Linked DNA regions of Rattus norvegicus. The protein of the gene in region 3 purifies or fractionates together with the protein of the main gene of each other region. This does not show direct contact. Links are inferred from orthologs where the notes say so. Each region holds a gene or a part of one and is shown on either strand. Other genes may lie near its edges.

Region 1 (4,194 bases), on a different chromosome or scaffold from region 3:
AATATCAGTATATTTTAAATACAGCCTCCCCTGCCCCCATTTATCAAAAATTTGGAAAATTCAAAATAAACACCCCATACCTTGTATCTTTGTTCAAGCCACGGGGTCTGGTTTTGCCAAAGAAAAGAAACCAAACAAATTAGATGCACCTTGGCTCCAACAACAGCAGCAGTGTGCTGGTAAATGTTTAGCAATTTGTTCCTGGGTAGAAAAAGCTCAGACATGAAGTGCTGGATGACTTCCATGGTGTAAATAAATATTCTCATCATGGCCTATTCCAAGCTACAGAAATGTAACACTGCTGAACACAGAGTTGAGAAGAAACAAACACAAACACTGAATCTCTCTCAGGAAACCATGGGTACTTGGGACTCCTACTATCAACAGCCTAGTTGTAAAGGCAGGGACACTAAGGTTCTGAGAGATCAATGAAGCTCCACAAGGCTAAGCCAAGAACAGACACAGGTTGGAAGGGATTTCCCTATCCAGACCATAGCCACCCCATGGAGAGGTATTTTCTCCTACAATACAGAAGAATGGAGAAAACAAGACAAAGAATGTTGTTTGCCAGGCACATGGTAATAAATGCCATTTATCTCAACTGTCGTCTTCCCATGTAGGCCTCTGGCTTCCTTTGCATGTGCTTTCAATGCACACTTTACTAGCAGATATTGCTTTTCTTACATGACCATGTTTCATGTACACAAACAGAGAGGAAATTATCTCAACGGAACAGTTGTCACCTATGCTCTTGACTTCCAGACAGGCCCTTCATCTTTCTTTTTTTTTTTTTTTTTTTTTGGTTCTTTTTTTTTTTTTTTTCGGAGCTGGGGACCGAACCCAGGGCCTTGCGCTTCCTAGGCAAGCGCTCTACCACTGAGCTAAATCCCCAACCCCCTTCATCTTTCAAAATTATCAATTTCCCAAGGTCCAGAAGAGTTGGGGATGAGATATAGATCTACTCCAGGGACAAATAAGGGAGACTCCAGCATCAATGTGAAGTCTTATACTATAACACAAGTGCTCAGAGTTTAGATCCCAGTCCCCTTTTCCCAACTGTGGGAGCAACAGCGTGTGCAGAAATAATTTCTAATGTATTGTCCAAAGTGCTTAAGCTGTTCTACCCGAACACAATAGCCTCTTTGGGTAGAAGATAAAGAACTTTGTTTGCTATATATATACACATATATACATATGTATATATATGAATGATAATATGTATACATTTTCTATCTCAAATTTATGTAGACAGCATGCAACAAAGGGAAGAATCTAAAGCAGGATTCCATCTATCACACACCGACACGCTAGGCATCTGCTTTCTAGTGTCAGAGGAAGGACCACACACAGAGCTCACCAGGAATGTGAAAGTAGCAGAATTCAGAGACTGGGACACATACTTCAACAAATACAAAGCTAGAAACCACAGACAGAACTGAACATCGGGGAAAGGAGGTAAAAACGTGCCACCTGATATTCTAGAGATGACCTCTCAGTTACTTGGTAAGCTTACACCAACCCCTACACGTTTGGCATGGCCTAGTCATACACACCTCCCGAACCCACAGGTCTGGTTTGCTACATCAATGCAGCAAACCGATGCTTACATGGAAATGGATGTTTACATAGAAACAACCAAGATACACATGAAAGGCATTGAGTTTGCAGAAGCCAAGAGTCACCACCATCTGTGGGGATCTCGTACTCAGTTCTGAAGTGAGGTCCACAGTGCTCCTGAGTATCTATCAGAGGTTAACTAGCTCCATGGTGCTGAGCGGAAGAACCATAAACAAAGTGGCAAACCCAGTGAACTATGCCTTCTAAGCATGGGCTGCCTCAGTAGTTTTAAAATACGCTGCAGAGAAACACAGGTGCAAGTATCTGGACTGTCAACACCAGTTCTAAACAACACAATGTTACATTTTCAATGATATACTTGAAAGTATACAGAAACTACATGACATGTCATACCGCAACAGGCTGAGTGTCTTCCTCGAAGCAGAGGTTTGTAGAAAGGTTAAAAAATGCCCTAACAGTGTTTGGGAAAATACAGGATTTAAACACACACACACACACACACACACACACACACACACACACACACACACACACACCGTTATGTGAAATATAATTGGTCTATTCTGAATTAAGTATATTAAATGTCTATTCGTTGTACTTATACACGACAAAATATCAATAGGTACAATCTATATAACAAAGGTTCCTTAGGTGCACAGCCGGTGTTAAATCCAGAAGTTAAGCAACTTCTGCTTGGAGGCTGTCATGCGTGCTGCAGGGAGATGTGCGGTTCTAGTGCACTGGCCTGGCCGAGCAGTACTGTCCAGTTCTCCTTAGGTTCCTCAATCGATCTCCTTGGACTCTATGCTCAACCCTTCCACTGAGGGGTCTCTCACCCTCACTCCACCTGTCTCTCCCCTGTGTTGGGGTCTCTAACATGCCGGGCACAATCGCTCCTTTCTATCCCGTGGGCCGGGCCCCGCAGACTGACACCCTGGCGGTGCGGCCCGCACACCAAGGCGAGAACTCTCGGGGCGCCGAGAAGAGCCACTCCCAGTACAAAGCGACGCAGGCTGGGGAGCGGGCAGAGAGGTCACCCTAGGAGCCAGCTCCACGGCCTCCCCGCAGATCGCCGGGTGTTCCCGGGTCTGTACCGTGGGAAAGGCCTGCACGGACGCCCCGGGGCCGCATGGTACTCACCGCTCACAGCGGGGCTCACGGAGCACGGAGCACACAGGCGGGTGCAAGCAAGAACCCAGGCCGACTTTGCGCTCCTCCCCCTGAGCGGTCCTCCGGACGCTCCGGCTGCGAGGCGGGACCCGTGGGAGAGCGGGCCGGAACCAGCTGCAGCAAGAGAGGGGCCGGACCTGGGCCTCACTACGCCCCTAGGGGCGGAGCCTGGACACCTCCTCCCTTCAGAAGCTGCAGGCTATGGCTGAGGCTTGGAGTCTGCTCAGGGCACGCCCTCCCTTCCGAACCTTCGGACGGTGGCAGACGGGCGGAGTCTAGGACCTATTCCGCCCCAAGGGCCAGAACTTGAGGTTCCGGCCAAGGGGCAGAGCTTGGGACACCTCTTCTTTCCAGAGCCCGAAGGCAGGCCATACTGAGGGACGAATCCCAGGTCCCTACATGGCCAACCCAGAGCCAACCCTGGGGACTTAGGCTGAGAGGATGGACCCGGGACCCGGCCCCGCCCCTAGATCCAGAGAATCTTGGCCTCGGGTGGGGGCAGAGCCTAGGACCTGCTCCACAAAGGCCCTAAGCTGAAGGCCATTGATATTTGTGGCTCCGCCCCATAGGCGGGAGAAACTGGGCCCTGGGGCTGCATCTAGCGTTGCTAGTGGTTCACTCCCAGGAAGTGTCTAGGCTTTTCCTCTTCTGGAGCATGGGAGAAGGCCGACTGTCGCTCACGTGGGGCAGAGTGTGACTTGTAAGTGTCTGACTAGCTCAGTGAGCCAGAAGAAGAAAAGACTTGTTAGGATTTCTGTTGCTGCGATGAAATGCCATGTCCAAAAGGCAGGCTGAGGAGAAAGGGGTGTATTTGGCTTACACTTCCAACTCATTGGAGGAAGTCAGGACAGGAACTCAAGCAGGGCTGCCTACTGCCTTGCTTCCCATGGCTTGCTCCGCTTACTTTCTTTCTTACAGAACCCAGGACCACCACCAGCCCAGGGATGGCACGGCTCACCGTGGGCTGGGCCCTCCCCATTGATCACTAATTGAGCAAATGCCTTACAGCTGAATCTCATGGAGGCATTTTCTCAGCTGAGGCTCCTTCCTCTCTGATAACTAATTTGTGTCAAGTGACACACAAAACCAGCCTGTACAGTGCCCTCTCTCCACCTTTCTTTTAAATGCTGGGCGGTAAGTACAGGCGTTATTTTCTGAGTGCCTCAGAACACTGCATAATCAGTCATCTCTGTCCTCCAGTGTCCCCACCTCCTTCCACCATCGACTCCCTACGACTGAGATGGCAGGTCCACCTGCCACACCACGCCCAGATCTTTTGAAAAGAGAGTTTCTCTGTCTTTACTTGCCCAAAGCTCGGGAAGTGGCATCAGGAACATACTCGGAAAAACAGGACCTCAACATTTCTGTAGCTTACACAGAATGCAACATTTTATATCAACTCGTCTTTAGCCTGTAGCAACCCATGATAGTGCATGCTGTCTACCC
Region 2 (4,292 bases), on a different chromosome or scaffold from region 3:
ACAGTTCAAAACCGTCCACTTACCACAACCTGACAACAAAGACTCTATCAGTTGAGACTAAGAATACTAACTTAATCCTTCCTACATTTCCTTTCATTCTACAGCCCTTGCTTACAGGGCTGAACGCCTGTTACCTACAACAAGCCACTCAGACTCTCCTGCTGGAGTTCAAGGTTATATGATCCAGCTCTTTCAGCCCACTCAACCTTACTGACTACTACTCCATTGCACCAGCCTCCCTTTCATTAAGAGGAATCAATTACAACAGGGTTCACTTAGATGGGTTCTACAGAGTTAATTTTAAACCATACACGTACTACTAGTTTTGTGTCAGCTTGACACAGCTAGAAACATCATAGAGAAAAGAGTCCCAGTTGAGGAAATGCCTCCATGAGATCCAGCTGTAAGGCATTTTCTCAATTAGTGATCAGTGGGGGAGGACCCAGCCCATTGTGGGTGGTGCCATCCCTGGGCTGGTAGTCCTGGCTTCTGTAAGAAAGCAGGCTGAGCAAGCCAGAGGAAGCAAGCCAGTAAGCAGCACCCTCCATGGCTCTCATCAGCTCCTGCTTCCAGATTTGAGGTCCTGTCCTGACTTCCTTCAGTGATGGACTATGATGTGGAAGTGTAAGCCAAATACCCTTTTGTCCCCAACTTGCTTTTTGGTCATGGTGTTTAGTCACAGCAATAGAAACACTAAGACAAGATGACAGTTTAGGCTACCCCCTTTTTAGACTTAAACAAAAAAATGTATTTTATGAAAAAATAAAAGATGAAGGCAGTTATTTAAGTTATCTTTTTAAGATATGCATCCATAAAACCCAAAATTATTGTTCCCAGAGTGCACAAGTGTGGAAGAACAATTACAGATAGCATTAGATAGTAACTCTTACCTTGGTATGGGGGTGGGATTAAGTAAATATATGCCTCTGGGAAAAACAATGTTCCTGATATAGTTCATTGGATCTAAATCTTACCCCCAAATAAACCAAAAGTAAACACTAGTCAATGACAAGCTCAATAAGGAACTTAGAGATTAATGTATTGATTTCTGCAGTTTAAATGGGTAGGTTTGTGGTAATTCAAATTAAAAAAAAAATGTTAGTGATAGGTTCTAAGTAGTGATTCTATGATCTTTAAAAATTCTTTAAGCCGGGCAGGGATGGTACATGCCTTTCATCCCAGCATTCAGGAGGGAGGGGTTTGGGTCTCTGAGTTCAAGGCCAGCCTGGTCTACAGAGTGAGTTCCAGGATAGCCTGGAACTGTAAGCTCTCTCTACCAGAGAGAGCCTGTCTCAAAAGACAATAAACAAACAGATAAATAAATAAAGATTAAAATTCTTTAGATTTTGTTAAATGCTGGGAAATCTCCATAGGAAAATCTGGGAGGAAATGGCATTGATAATACCCCATAACAGACTATACTTGATAAAGTTGTAAAATGTTACAAGCTTAAGCAGGGCTTTTTTTTTTATAAGATAGGGGCTCACACTGTAGCTGAGGCTGGCCTGTAGCAAACTTGCCATCCCCCTCCTGCCAAATCCAGGAACTAAAGGAATGCATTACCAAGCCCAGTCAATAGCAGACCTTTTTTCCCTCTTGATGCTTCCCCCTTGATACTTACCTCTTACAACACAGTTGTCTCTCTCACTAATTATAATGTTTTGGTGACCATAGATAGTATCTTATTTGTTTATTTGTCCCCAATTCTTTTCATGCTGGGTAAAAAATATGTGCTCAGAAATGGAAAGGCAGAGTGCATGTAGACTATTGATTGCTAAGGACCAGAATATATTTCTAGTAGTTCATTTCTCACATTTTCTAAAAGTTAATCTGTTTAATTTGCAAAAGAAACTTCTTCTCTCATGAACTTCCAAACGTGATTTAAAAAACCCTACATCTATTTTGTGTTCTATTTCTTAAACCTGACTCTGAATGCCATTCAGAAAGAATTCTAAGGTGGCCCCCTGGAATTTTATTTGTTCAAATCCTGGATAAACTCGGAACTAAGAGATTCCTAAAATTGGAACTCTGGGGAAGAAGGATAAAAAAATGAGACATTAAAAAGTCATGAATACAATTTATCAAAAAGCCTAGGGCTGGAGAGATGGCTCAGCGGTTAAGTGCACTGACAGCTCTTCCAGAGCTCCTGAGTTTAATTCCCAGCAACCATATGATGGCTCACAACCATCTGTAATAAGATCCGATCCCCTCTTCGTTGTGTTAGACAGCGTACTCACATACACAAAATAAACAAATAAATTTTTCTTAAAGCCTACTAAGACACACTAGTGAAGTTTTAAAGACACTAGTCATCTACACGCCCACCGACCTAGAGCCAGACGGGCTCCTCCCCTCCTCCATCCAATTACAACCACTCAGACAGTTGGAGCGCACGCTACTTCCAGGACGGCCAAAGTGTAACCCTTGAAACACAGAACCTTCTCACGTTAACACTCAGCAAACAACGCGGTCCTGCGGTGCAAGCACCAGATTTGGACCTGAATACCCAAGTCCAAGTCCCAGTTCCACTACCGGGCTCGTTTGTGCCTTGAACAAGTCTTTTACTCTCGGAGAAATGTAATGATTATCTATGGATTACAAAGATGCGAAATGTAAAGAAGGCTTTAAGGAAGATGCAAACTAGTTAGGGTAGTAGCGCTCCCAGTGGGGGCCGAGCGGCCAGAGGACCAATCACAATCACCTCGCCCTTCACTCCCTTCCCGCCGCGCGCCCGTGCTGAGGCCGCTCCCTGCGGTTCGGCCCCTGCAGAAGCCTCGCGGCGCTGCTTGCCATACCTGCAGCCACCTGGTCAGCGGGCCCCTCCTGCTGACCCATGACGAAGTCTTGCACGAGGCCACACAGGGCGCCCATAGGCGCCGCTGCCTCCTCCAGAGCAGTGGCGGCAGCCATGACGCGAGCCAGAGACTGTGGGAGGGGAAGTGGGTGTGGCCACGAGATGCGTCTCTTCGCGCACGCGCCTCCACAGCCAATAGTTGGGCGCGGGCCTCGGGGGCGGGGCACTCCCAGGTCACGTGCCTGCCCGCTCTGGGCCAGGCGGTTCCTTAAGGGACCTAACGGCCCCTCCCCAGAGGGCGGGGCCTGGGCTGGGGCGCGGCTCGGGGAGGGGAAGTGACTGCTGGGCACGCAGCCGGGGCGGTTGAAGGCGCATAATTCCCGGCGGCTCTCCCGGGGAGACGGACTGCAGGGCGGGCACCTGGCTGGGTGGGGCCGAGGGGCGGTACGCACCCTAGGAGAAGCCAATGAGAAAACCAGGCCCGGCCCGAGGGGCGGTGCCGTCGGTCACATGCGCACCTGGGGCGGCTGGCGGCCGTGGCGCGGGCACCCCGAGCGGGAGGAAGGGAGCGGGGCCGGGCCGGGGCGGGGTTAGGCAGGTGAGTGACAGGCTCCGGGGGGCCGGCCCCAGCTGGGAGCTCCGAGTGATCCCGGAGTAGCTGCGACGGTGTCCGCCCCCTCCCTCCGCCCCTCCAGCCGGGCTGGTCTCTGGCCGGGCACTGTCGCGGGCCCCCCTGGCCTGGCCACCTCCTTCTCCCCTGGCCCGCAAAGTTTGTGGCGAAGCCGGCGTCGGGCAGAGTGCGCCCCAGGGGAGATCCAGGAGCTCCCGATGCCGGGCTGCGGGAGCCATTGACTCGGGGACGCCGCGGTTCGGGACAGCAGCGTGGAGCAGCCTGCCGACCGCCGCCTCTGGTGCATGGGGACCGGCTGAGAAGCCAGCATGGGCAACTGCGTGGGGAGACAGCGCCGGGAGAGGCCGGCTGCTCCGGGACACCCCCGCAAGCGAGCAGGTAACGCCAGGAAAGGCAACGGGGTCCCGGCGCGCTGCCAGTTGGCCCTTGCCTTACCCGAACCTTGGGGTTCCTGAGCGACCTCGCTCGGCGCTCAGCGTTTGGGTTCCCCCATGGCTTCTCGAGCCAGACGGGGCCCTCCCTGGAGCGGGCTGACTGGGAAGCGAGTTGGGGTAACTGCGAGCGCTGACCCGGCTGCGAGGCCAACTCGCTCCCACCGGGAAGCGGGGAGTGGGGGCAGGGGCAGGAAATGTTTCCAGACCGCGACGAGGCTGGCGCAGGGGGCCAGGCGAATGCGCCGCTGGTCTGGCAGCCCCGGCCGGGGTCGGCCGGCGGCCGGCTGGGGCGCGGCGTGGGCAGCCTGCGTCCCCAGAAGTCGGAGCGATCGAGGCGAACACAGTCGCTCATTCCAGAGAGTCACTGTGTCATTATCGGGCTGCAGGTCGTTGTCTGCGGGAATCAGACTTGCAAAAACAGTGCAGGACCATA
Region 3 (3,645 bases):
CTTGTCTACAAGTAAAGTTTATCAGCAGTAACTTCTTTTACTAACAATGTGGTAATCATGTAGATTTTCTTTTAACAAAATACATTTTAAATTAAATGTTACTTCAAATATGTGTGCTTCCTCATTACTCTGAATTAACCATGTACTAGATTATTACTATTTTCAGAAATAAAAATGAGCGCTTCTTAACCCTCAACAAGTATTTCATGTATAAGTTGAGTATTTTTCAAAGAAGCCATGTCAATGGTGTCACCTTTTACAAGTGGGTACAATTCCAGCACGTTCTAAATTGTATATTCTTTTACAAAAAAGGACTGACTCTTAATTACTGCTTTAAAAGCAACTACCTAGACTCCTAGAAAATGCATTATATATAAACTTTAAAGCATTTCCATTTCTTCCAAATCATGCTCTATCAAGAAAGGAAATTTAGAATTGTATTATTTGTATTATTGAACTGTAAATAGCTTTCAAACCTTAAAAGTCGGATCTCTCAAAAGTTTCTACTAAAAATTTGAAATAAAAAAATTTACATTTAACAGGAGTAAATAACTCCTTTGGAATGCTAATATTATATATTCAAAACAGATTAAATATTGAGAAAGTACAAAAGATTTTAAGCACTTTACCTTTTTCATCTAAATATTTTCCAAAAAGTTTAAAAACAGTTAAGTACAGAGTAAGTAGGCAAATAATAAGACTGAGCTAAGTCTTTACACTTCCCACCAAATACCTATCTCCATTAAGCAAAACAGAGTTCACTCACTATGAGATTTGTTTCCAAATGGAACCTACACCAAAATTATATAAGCAACTCAAATGTAATACACAAATAAAATATCTTCATTAAAATTATGTATTCATCTTAAACTGAATCTTGTAAGCTTAGGAAGCTTTGTTTTTAAAAGCCATATTTATTTTTCTTCTTTCAGACTGCATAGACATGTGCACGGGTACACATACATATGAGTGCATTGGCCACAGGAGGTCAACGGGTGTTGGATCCCCTGGAGCCAGAGTTACAGGCTGTTGTGACCTGCCACATGAATCTATTGGGAGAGCAAGCTCTGATCCTCTGTAATAGCAATATGGGGTCATCCACTTAACCACTGAGTCACCTGTCCAGTCCCCCATGGCTTTATTTTTAACAGTAAGCAAAAACTTCCATTCATGAACATAATTTTGCTTTTATTTGTTCAGCTAGATATTTAAAAAGAATCATTTTTCCACTGCTTGGTTACATTGCCATCAAGAGAGAGCAATACAGGCTCCACCAAGTTGCTTCTGTTAAGAACATGTCAACTCTTCTAGAAATAAGAGCTGAGATCTCCTTTCTTCTCATTTATTTTAAGAGAAATCTAACTTCTAAGCAATAGAAAACTTGCTAACTTCTCTGCATTCTAATATTATTCTCTCTAGTTTCCCTGAATCCATGATTGTTCTCCCTGAGATAAACTCTGGTCTCCCCTCTCATTTGAGAATAAACTGGGCTCTCAAAACCAAAAGTATACAGTATAAATAAAAGATAGGTGAATAAGAGAATGGGACTATTTAAATCTGTTTCCAGTTACAAACGCAGGATGATTTGTTCTGTTTATTAATAATCAAGGAGCAGCTTTATTATGCTTCTGAAATATTCAGTTTCTACTACATAAGATCAAATGCTCCAAAGAACAACAAACATAATTTGAAAATGCATGTTTGAACAAGCTCAATGAAAAACAGACGAGAAAAAAATGGGGGGGGCGGGGGGGATGTTTAACTAGTGGTACCTGTATATCTGTCTGTGTCTGTGTGTCTGTAGGGATTAAGATGGGGTCTCACATAGCCCAAGCTAAACTTGAAAGAAAGGATGTCCTTGAACTACTGACACTATCTCCAGAGTGCTGAAGTGAATGACAAGCACCGAGCCACCACCCTTGTGTTGTGTGATGCTGGGGCTTAAACCCTGCGCTTTATGCATGCTGGGCAAGCACTCTTCCAACCAGCTACATCCCATGCCCTGCCTCGTGACTTTTAAGTTGGCTCAGGAATCAGCTTCTGAAACAGTATAGAAACTGTCAAGCCTGTGCCTCCTGAGGAGTTCCCATTAACAAAGTCTTCTTTTGTTATCTACCAAACTTAAATAAAGCAGTGCTGTGAGAAAATGTGATCCTGTCATTCCTAAGAAATCAATACTTTTAAGTTATTCATGGGTAAATGCTAGAATACTACAGTGGAATTCCCAAAATCTTAAAGTAATCTTAGTATTTCTATAACAATTTGTCATTTTTAAGTGATTTAAACTCTTACATGCCTAAAATTCTGGTACAATGGATAAGAAACTTACCTTCACAAAGTAAAAATATGTGGCATTTTGCTTTTATTAGATTAAGGAACCAAATCATTTTAATTTATTAAATTTAAAGGACTAAACCTGAAAGTGAGACAATTTGTGCAGTTAGGAAATAAAAACTATAAAAAAAATTACAAAAATCTTAAATTCTTCAACATGTCTCAGCTAAAAGGCATTACCGTTAATGTTGTCACAGTAGTAGAAGTATTCGTCATTTAGGGAAGGACATGCTGAGACCAAATCCTGCAGTCCTGCACCAGTTACAGTCAGACAGCCAGAGAGATTCAGGTGCTCCAAGTAAGGCAGTCCTCCTCCCAGAGTCAGAACCCTGCAAAAGAAATACTCTGACAGTCAGGAAAGAGTAATCTTTGGAATTTTTAATATTGCTATGGCCCACTAGTATTGTACTAACTCTCAAGTTGGCAATAAGTTATGAATTTTTATAAAACACTGATAACTGACTGACTCCTCCTTAGACAGAAATACATCCGACTCAAGAAAATGTTCTACATTTTTCTTGTCAAGACTCCAATAAAGCATATGACACTTTATAAAAACATTACAGTAACAATTCTCACACAAACACCGAGACCTAGATTCATTTCCCACCAAGCTGTATAAGAGAATAAAAAAATCAAAAAATATTACTGAAATCTGAAACCTAATTACCAGTTCCCCCCATAAGTTAGTGAGGGGTGATCCCTGCAGTTCCTGACAGGGAAGTAGGCTGAAGCACTCAGAGAGATTAAGAATGAAGACCACTGCATATCGACTTCATCAACCTGGATCAGACGGCGGGGCGTCTAACGCCAGGCAGTCATTGCTGGCATACTTAAAGCACAGTACAATCTGGGAAAAGGTTTCCAGGTAATATCAGCCAATTCCAGGTGCACAATAATGCTTAAGGTGTGACTACATAGAAACTTTATTACAAAGTTCATGTCACCATGAAGGTTGGTTCTATAGCTCAAAGACCTAGAATCTAATGTGGTTTCTGACCAATAGCAGGTACATATGCCATCTCCCCTAAGGATTAGTAATGGTCTAGGGAGAAGAGTCTGGGGTAATTATTCTGGGGATTTGAGTGAGAGGTCTGTCTCTATATCAAAAGGGGGTGGTGGTCTGCCTCCACAACCAGCAAGGTCACCAGGTCATTAACAAACTCCACTCTCAGCTTTCTGGATGGGATGCAGGTATCTTATTATTATCTCCTCCATTGAGACACTCCTGCATGATTAACATTCTGTGAGTACCAAGACTCTGTATCCCCAACAACCTAGGAATCCCTCTCCTGGGTATACGAACACAAG

The links.
Region 1: the proteins of Fbxl5 (region 3) and Aco1 purify together in Homo sapiens (affinity purification with western blotting; 3 studies listed by BioGRID, with this or other methods). This does not show direct contact. The link is inferred for Rattus norvegicus from reciprocal best matches to the Homo sapiens genes FBXL5 and ACO1.
Region 2: the proteins of Fbxl5 (region 3) and Mms19 purify together in Homo sapiens (affinity purification with mass spectrometry; 4 studies listed by BioGRID and IntAct, counting the BioPlex papers as one, with this or other methods). This does not show direct contact. The link is inferred for Rattus norvegicus from reciprocal best matches to the Homo sapiens genes FBXL5 and MMS19.

Annotation. Positions count from the first base shown.
Region 1 is NC_086023.1:60,054,536-60,058,729, reverse strand, and holds the start of Aco1 (cytoplasmic aconitate hydratase), read right to left. Parts: upstream 2,836-4,194; 5' UTR 2,719-2,835; intron 1-2,718. UniProt on the Homo sapiens protein: Bifunctional iron sensor that switches between 2 activities depending on iron availability. Iron deprivation, promotes its mRNA binding activity through which it regulates the expression of genes involved in iron uptake, sequestration and utilization.
Region 2 is NC_086019.1:250,740,651-250,744,942, forward strand, and holds the start of Mms19 (MMS19 nucleotide excision repair protein homolog), read right to left. Parts: upstream 2,933-4,292; 5' UTR 2,911-2,932; coding exon 2,796-2,910; intron 1-2,795. Other genes in the region: Ubtd1 (ubiquitin domain-containing protein 1), read left to right, coding at 3,734-3,803. UniProt on the Homo sapiens protein: Key component of the cytosolic iron-sulfur protein assembly (CIA) complex, a multiprotein complex that mediates the incorporation of iron-sulfur cluster into apoproteins specifically involved in DNA metabolism and genomic integrity.
Region 3 is NC_086032.1:71,552,492-71,556,136, reverse strand, and holds part of Fbxl5 (F-box/LRR-repeat protein 5), read right to left. Parts: intron 2,678-3,645; coding exon of another isoform or gene 2,664-2,677; coding exon 2,515-2,663; intron 1-2,514.